2 linked regions of the Callithrix jacchus genome follow. The protein of the gene in region 1 interacts with the protein of each later gene in a biochemical or structural test. Links are inferred from orthologs where the notes say so. Each region holds a gene or a part of one and is shown in the gene's direction. Other genes may lie near its edges.

Region 1 (3,517 bases):
GCCTTCCCCCTGGAGGGCTTCACAGGGTGGGAGCAGTGGATGCCACCAAGGGGGCCCCATGCAGTGGAACAGTCAGCAGCAGGTTCCCACTGGGGATGGCAGGGCTGGCCTCCCATCACTGTGAGTGACCTTGCCCAGATGCCACTTTTCCTTGATGCTTTGTCCCTGGAGCTCCTGCCTCGCTGCTGCTTTTCTGTCCCTCTCAGTCTAGAGAGCGCCTGTCTCCATCCCCAGTTTGGTGAGGGGGTGGTGAGTGTTTTTCACGGAGATGCTGGGAGCAGGCTGTGGGGGTGAGAAAGGGTTTGGGTCTGAGTTGGGCAATCCTGACTGTCCCGTGCAGGAGTGGCTTCTCCAGCTCATTTCCAGAGCCTGGCTGCTCTCTGGGAAGTACTTGGTGCTTCTGAAGAGGGCTGGCCTACATTTGGGTGACCTGAGACATGTGGGAAGACTGAGCCACTGAGCCAGGGACACGGAGGCTGGCCCAGAATCAGCCAGAGAGGATGTGGCCCCTCTCCAGGACTCCAGGCCTTTGTTTCAACACAGCCTGCCTGTCACTCCTTACTCTTCCTAGACCATGAGGGACAGAGAAGTTTTACTCTAGGGGCAGAGGAAGAGGTGTGGATTTTTTTGTTTTGTTTTGTTTTTTGAGAAGGAGTCTTGCTCTGTCGCCAGGCTAGAGCTCAGTGGTGCAGTCTTGGCTCACTACAACCTCCACCTCCTGGCTTCAAGCAGTTCTCCTACCTCAGCCTTCCTAGTAGCTGGGACTACAGGGATGTGCCACCATGCCCAGCTAATTTTTTGTATTTTTAGTAGAGAAGGGGTTTCACCATCTTGGCCAGGCTGGATCTTGAACTTTTGACCTCATGATCCACCTGCCTCAACCTCCCAAAGTGCTGGGATTACAGGTGTGCGCCACCGCACCTGGCTGTTCTGTTTTGTTTTTGAGGTGGTCTCACTGTGTCACCCAGGCTGGAGTGCAGTGGCGTGATCGTGGCTCACTGCAGCCTCAACCTCCTGGGTGCAGGTTATCCTCCTGCCTTAGCCTCCCAAGTAGCTGGGACTACAGGCCTGCACCACCTTTGTAGAGATGGGATTTCACCATGTTGCCCAGGCCGAAGTGGAAATATTTTTGAAGAGGCCTGGTTGTCAAACAGGATTCCAATTAAACCTCGGTTACAGAACCCAAAACTCACTGGCTTAAGTCAGATATCTGATAGTCTATGTGAAAAGCAATAGTCCAAGGCCATTCTGAACATGCAGCTTTCATCTCTGAACACGGGGTGCTTGCTCCGGCTCCTCCCATCACGCCTGCGTCCCAGTCCTCAGGAGGGAGAAGACAACAAAGGGCTCATGCACCTTTTCTTGTTCTTTTCTGCTGCAAGGGATGCTGGGAAATGCAGTCTCAAGCTGCGAGGCCACGAATCCAGCTGAAACTAGATAGTTATGTCTAGTTCCTCCTTTAGATGGAATTCCAACGAGCAGTCTGCCACAGGCGACAGAGTTCACTTTAATTGCTGGGCCTTCACTGGGCCGTAACAGGTTGGTAGGAAGCAATATAGAATAGAGTTTAGAATCCAGGCATGCTGGCCCAGGTCTGTCTTCCCAGAACTTTGGGAGGCTGAGGTGGGAGGCTCTCTTGAGCCCAGGAGTTCAGCGTAGACAACTTAATGAGACCCCCACCTCTACAAAATAAAAATTTAACAATTTGCTAGACATGGTGGCACATGCCTGTAGTCCCAGCTACTCAGGACTCTAAGGTGGGGGGTGGCTTGGGCCCAGGAGTTCAAGGTTACAGTGAGCCAAGACTGTGCCACTGTGCTTCAGCCCCAGTGACAGAGCAAAACCCTGTCTCTGAAAAAATGAATATAAAATTAAAAACCAAAGAAAGACTGTAGAGCTTAAAGCTGGAGTCTATCCAGTCCAGCCACTTCTTTGGAGAAGTATTTAAGACCCAGGAAGGGGAAGTGGTTTGTAGCACTTCCTGGGTTGCTTTTCTTGTAGAGCAGAGGTCAGCAAACTTTTTCTGTAAGGTCAGATAGTTAATTCTTCCAGCTTTGCAGACCTTATAGTTTCTGTCACAATGACTGAACTCTGCTGTGTCAGACAAAAGAAGCCATGGATAATACAAATGAGCATGGCTTTGTTTCAATAAAACTTTATTTACATAAACAGGTGGTGGGCCATGTTTGATCCCGGAGCTGTAGTTTGCCAACCTTTGTTGCAGAAAATAAGTGAGATCCCTGCAAACTGGGAAGCCTGGCACATCCACACTGAATGAGGAGCAGCAGCACTTACTGTTGCAGGCGCCTCTTGTCACGGCCATCCCAGGGCACACAGCTGGCAGGTGGCAACACTGGAGTCTGTGTTCTACCCTCTGTGCCATGCTGAGCACAGTGCTAGGTCTCCTCCTCACTCTTGCCCTTGTCCAACCCACTTTAGAGCTTGGACTGTGGGACAACTTTTGCATTAGCACGTGTTTACGGCAGGTGCTACATGGGTCGGCGAGTGTTGTGGCGGGGGCAGGAACAGGGAAGGTGATCCTGCCTTCAGGGTGCTGTACCGTCTAGATGAGTGCCTTCTAGGAATCTTTTTTTTTTTTGAGATGGAGTCTCACTCTGTTGCCCAGGCTGGAGTGCAATGGTGCAATCTTGGCTTACTGCAACCTCTGTCTCTGGGTTCAAACGATTCTCCTGCCTCAGCCTGTCAAGTGGCTGGGTTCTACGAGCACGCACCACCACGCTCGGCTAATTTTAGTATTTTTAGTAGAGACGAGGTTTCACTATGTTGGCCAGTACAGTCTCCATCTCTTGACGTCATGATCTGCCCACCTCGGCCTCCCAAAGTGCTGCGATTATAGGCGTGAGCCACCATGCTGGCCCCTTCTAGGAATTTCAAAAACGATCTCAGGCTGAGAAATACCAGGCCAGGTTAGAGATGAGAACCATCAGAGCAGCGGGTCCCTTGGCGCCCCTGAGCTCTCCCTTCTCTCTCCCCAGGCTATGACTTTGCAGCTGTCCTGGAGTGGTTCGCCGAGCGGGTGGACCGCATCATCCTGCTCTTCGATGCCCATAAGCTGGACATCTCTGATGAGTTCTCGGAAGTGATCAAGGCTCTGAAGAACCACGAGGACAAGATCCGCGTGGTATTGAACAAGGCAGACCAGATCGAGACGCAGCAGCTGATGCGGGTGTACGGGGCCCTCATGTGGTCCCTGGGCAAGATCATCAACACCCCTGAGGTGGTCAGAGTCTACATCGGCTCCTTTTGGTCCCACCCGCTCCTCATCCCCGACAACCGCAAGCTCTTTGAGGCCGAGGAGCAGGACCTCTTCAAGGACATCCAGTCTCTGCCCCGAAACGCTGCCCTCAGGAAGCTCAATGACCTGATCAAGCGGGCGCGGCTGGCCAAGGTAGGCCCTGGGTGAGGGGAGCGGCCTATTGCCAGGCAGGGCGGTGGGGCTCTGAGACTGGCACTGAGGGTCCCAGGACTGCCCAAGACCCATCCCAGCTCACTGCTC
Region 2 (3,517 bases), on another chromosome or scaffold:
GTAATTGCTAAGCCACAGGGTGATGCATGGATAGCAGATTTAGAGGAAGGCAGCTGAGGGGAGAGCAGGAGAAATGAAGCTCGAGAGCCTTCTGGCTGGAAAGACAGCTCACAGATGGGCCACAGCTGTAGATCAGTCCTGAACTAGGGACTGAAGCAAGTTTGTCATGAATAAAGGAAAGTGGTAGTGTTGATGTTGTGGTGAGTATATTTTCACAACGAGAACCACTGGGCAGATTTGCAGAGACTCAGCAGTGAACAGAGCAAGTCCCTGCCTCATGAAGCTCATATGCCATAAAGAAAAGAGAGGCTGGGTGCGGTGGCTCACACCTGGAATCCCAGCACTTTGGGAGGCTGAGTTGGGTGGATTGCCTGAGGTCAGGAGTTCGAAACTAGCCTGGCCAACATGATGAAACCCCATCTCTACTAAAAATATAAAAAACTAGCTGGGTGTGGTAGCAGGCGCCTGGAATCTCAGCTACTTAGGAGACTGAGGTAGGAGAATCTCTTGAACACAGGATGTGGAGGTTGCAGTGAGAACCTCTGAGCTTGGGTGACAGAGCAAGACTCCATCTCAAAAAAAAAAAAAGGTGGAGAGGAGGGGTGGTGGTTGGAAGGAGTTCTCCTTTAGGGAAGATGTCTGGGAAGGCTTCTCTGAGAGAGTGGCCTTTGAGTGGAGACCCTAGTTGGATGAGGGATGAGAGGCTGAGCTATACAAGTTATCTGGCAGAGATTACAGGCAGAGACAGTGGTACGTGCAAAGGCCTTGGGACAGGGTCACCCATGATAACAGGTTTTAAAGCTGGAACTGTGGGTGGACTGGAGTCAGACACTAATAGGGCCCAGAGAAGACACTGGTACCTGAAATCGAATTTGAGGATTTGACCATGGCCAGGAGGTTCAGGTGGCCCAGTGGGAACTCCTAAAGTGGGAACTTTCTAAAGAATGTAAGAACCAGAGTCCAGGGGTCAGTGCCAGGCCCAAGCCTATGAGGGTTCCCCGAGTTTAGGGGCTAGAGAGAGTCTGGTTGCAGTTCAGGCCCTGGACTCTGACCCTCACAGGTACACTGCCTTCCATGTTTTGTTTTGTTTTGCTTCTGAGAGTCTTGCTCTGACACCCAGGCTGAAGTGCAATGGTGTGATCCCGGCTCACTGCAACCTTCACCTCTCGGGTTGAAGCAATTCTCCTGCCTCAGCCTCCTGAGTAGCTGGGATTACAGGAACCTACCACCATGCCCTGCTAATTTTTGTATTTTTAGTAGAGACGGGGTTTCACCATGTTGGCCGGGCTGGTCTTGAACTCCTGACCTTGTTATATGCCTGCCTCGGCCTCCCAAAGTGCTGGAATTACAGATGTAAGCCACTACACCTGGCTTCTGCCATCCATCTTAACATGGCACCATGAGCCAACCTCTCAGGAAAAGGGTGTCACGAACAAATGAGGAAAGCAAGCAGAGGTAGGGCAGGGAGGGAGAGGCAGAGGAACTTGTTGGAAACGGTCGTGTCCCCTCACAGACGAGATCACCCACCTCCAGATGTGCCCACTGAGAGTTTATGAAGTGGCTGCTGCATGTATTCCTTGACTGCCCTGGGGGAGAGGTCACAAAGCTATAATGCCACTGCCTCTCGGTTTCCTCAGGAGCTTGCCCGTCAGCGAGGAGTCCTGGAGCGCACAGAGAAGATGGTGGACAAGATGGACCAAGATTTGAAGATCAGCCAGAAACACATCAATAACATTAAGAGTGTGTTTGGGGGATTTGTCAATTACTTCAAATCCAAACCAGCAGAGACCTCAGTTGAACATAATGGCACCCTCATTTCCCAGCCCAACAGCAGGTGAGTGTGTCTTCTACCATCTGGGTATAAGGGAGCAGAAGTGGGGTGTAGTGTAAATGACCAAGACTTTCACACATCCGTGCCATAAACAGATTTAGCAGCCCTTTAAGTTACTCATCGGGGGATTTGTCCTCAAACATTGTGAAACCAGGAGCTATTCTTCCCTGTTCCTATATTCATTTGTTTGACATCTAGTCTGTCAGTTGCTTCTCCAATAATTGTGACCCCACTACTCTGAAAGAGAGGGTGTTCACCTCAGAGAGCATAATCAGTACAAAGTGACTCACTTTACATAATTTTTGCTTTAAAAAGTCTTTAGGGGCTGGGTGCGGTGGCTCACATCTATAATCCCAGCACTTTGGGAGGACAAGTGGGGCGGATCGCAAGGTCAGGAGTTGACCAACATGGTGAAACGCCATCTCTACTAAAATAGAAAAAATTAGGTGGGCATGGTGGTGCACGCCTGCAATCACAGCTACTAAGCAGGCTGAGAGAGGAGAATTGCTTGAACCCAGGAGGCAGAGGTTGCAGTAAGCCAAGATTGTGCCACTGCACTCCAGCCTGGGTGACAAAGTGAGACTCTGTCCCAAAAAAAAAAAAAAAAAGAAGTCCAGTGGCTCATGCCTGTCACTCCAGCACTTTGGGAAGCCAAGGTGGGTGTATCACTTAAGCCTAGGAGTTCAAGACCAGCCTGGGCAATATAGTGGGACCCCTGTCTTTACAAAAAGTATCCAAGCATTGTGGTGGACACCAGTAATCCCAGCTACTTAGGAGGCTAAGGTAAGAGGCTCTCTTGAGGACTGGGGGTCAAGGCTGCAGTGGGCCGTGATGGTGCCACTGCACTCCAACCTGGGCTACAGACGGAGACCCTGTCTCAAAAAAAAAAAAAAGTCACGGGCCCATAGTCCTAGCTACAGGGGAGACTGAGGTAGAAGGATCGCTTTAGCCCAGGTGTTAGAGACTGGAGTGAGCTACAATGGTGCCATCGCACTACAGCCTCAGTGATAGTCTCCCTGTCAAAAAAAAAAAAAAGGCCAGATGTGATGGCTTACGCCTGTAATCCCAGCACTTTGGGAGCCAAAGTGGGTGGATCATGAGGTCAGGAGTTTGAGACCAGTCTGGCCAATATGGGGAAACCCTGTCTATACTAAAAATACAAAAAATTAGCTGGTTGTGGTGGCGTGCGCCTGTAGTCCCAGCTGCTTGGGAGGCTGAGGCAGGAGAATTGCTTGAACCCAGGAGGCAGAGGTTGCAGTAAGCCAAGATCATGCCACTGCACTCCAGCCTGGGCAACAGAGCAAGACTCCGTCTTAAAAAAAAAAAAATTAGGCCGGGCACAGTGGCTCACGCCTATAATCCCAGCACTTTGGGAGGCCGAGGCGGGTGGATCATGAGGTCAAGAGATCGAGACCATCCTGGTCAACATGGTGAAACCCCGTCTCTACTAAAAATACAAAAATTAGCTGGGCATGGTGGTGTGCGCCTGTAGTCCCAGCTACTCGGGAGGCTGAGGCAGGAGAATTGCTTGAACCCACGAGGTGGAGGCTGCATTGTCTGGGTAACAACAGCGAAACTCTGTCTTAAAAAAAAAAAAAAATTTAAAACTAAATAATTAAAAAAGTTAGAAATTGCTTTCCTCAAGTTTTGGCTCAAAATGTAATAAAAACATACATGAAATTTTGG

The links.
Region 2: the proteins of EHD1 (region 1) and SNAP29 form a complex in vitro, tested with the Homo sapiens proteins (2 studies listed by BioGRID). The link is inferred for Callithrix jacchus from reciprocal best matches to the Homo sapiens genes EHD1 and SNAP29.

What each region holds. Positions count from the first base shown.
Region 1 is NC_133511.1:121,931,788-121,935,304, reverse strand, and holds part of EHD1 (EH domain-containing protein 1), read left to right. Parts: intron 1-2,996; coding exon 2,997-3,409; intron 3,410-3,517. UniProt on the Homo sapiens protein: ATP- and membrane-binding protein that controls membrane reorganization/tubulation upon ATP hydrolysis. In vitro causes vesiculation of endocytic membranes. Acts in early endocytic membrane fusion and membrane trafficking of recycling endosomes.
Region 2 is NC_133502.1:193,253,534-193,257,050, reverse strand, and holds part of SNAP29 (synaptosomal-associated protein 29), read left to right. Parts: intron 1-1,637; coding exon 1,638-1,834; intron 1,835-3,517. UniProt on the Homo sapiens protein: SNAREs, soluble N-ethylmaleimide-sensitive factor-attachment protein receptors, are essential proteins for fusion of cellular membranes.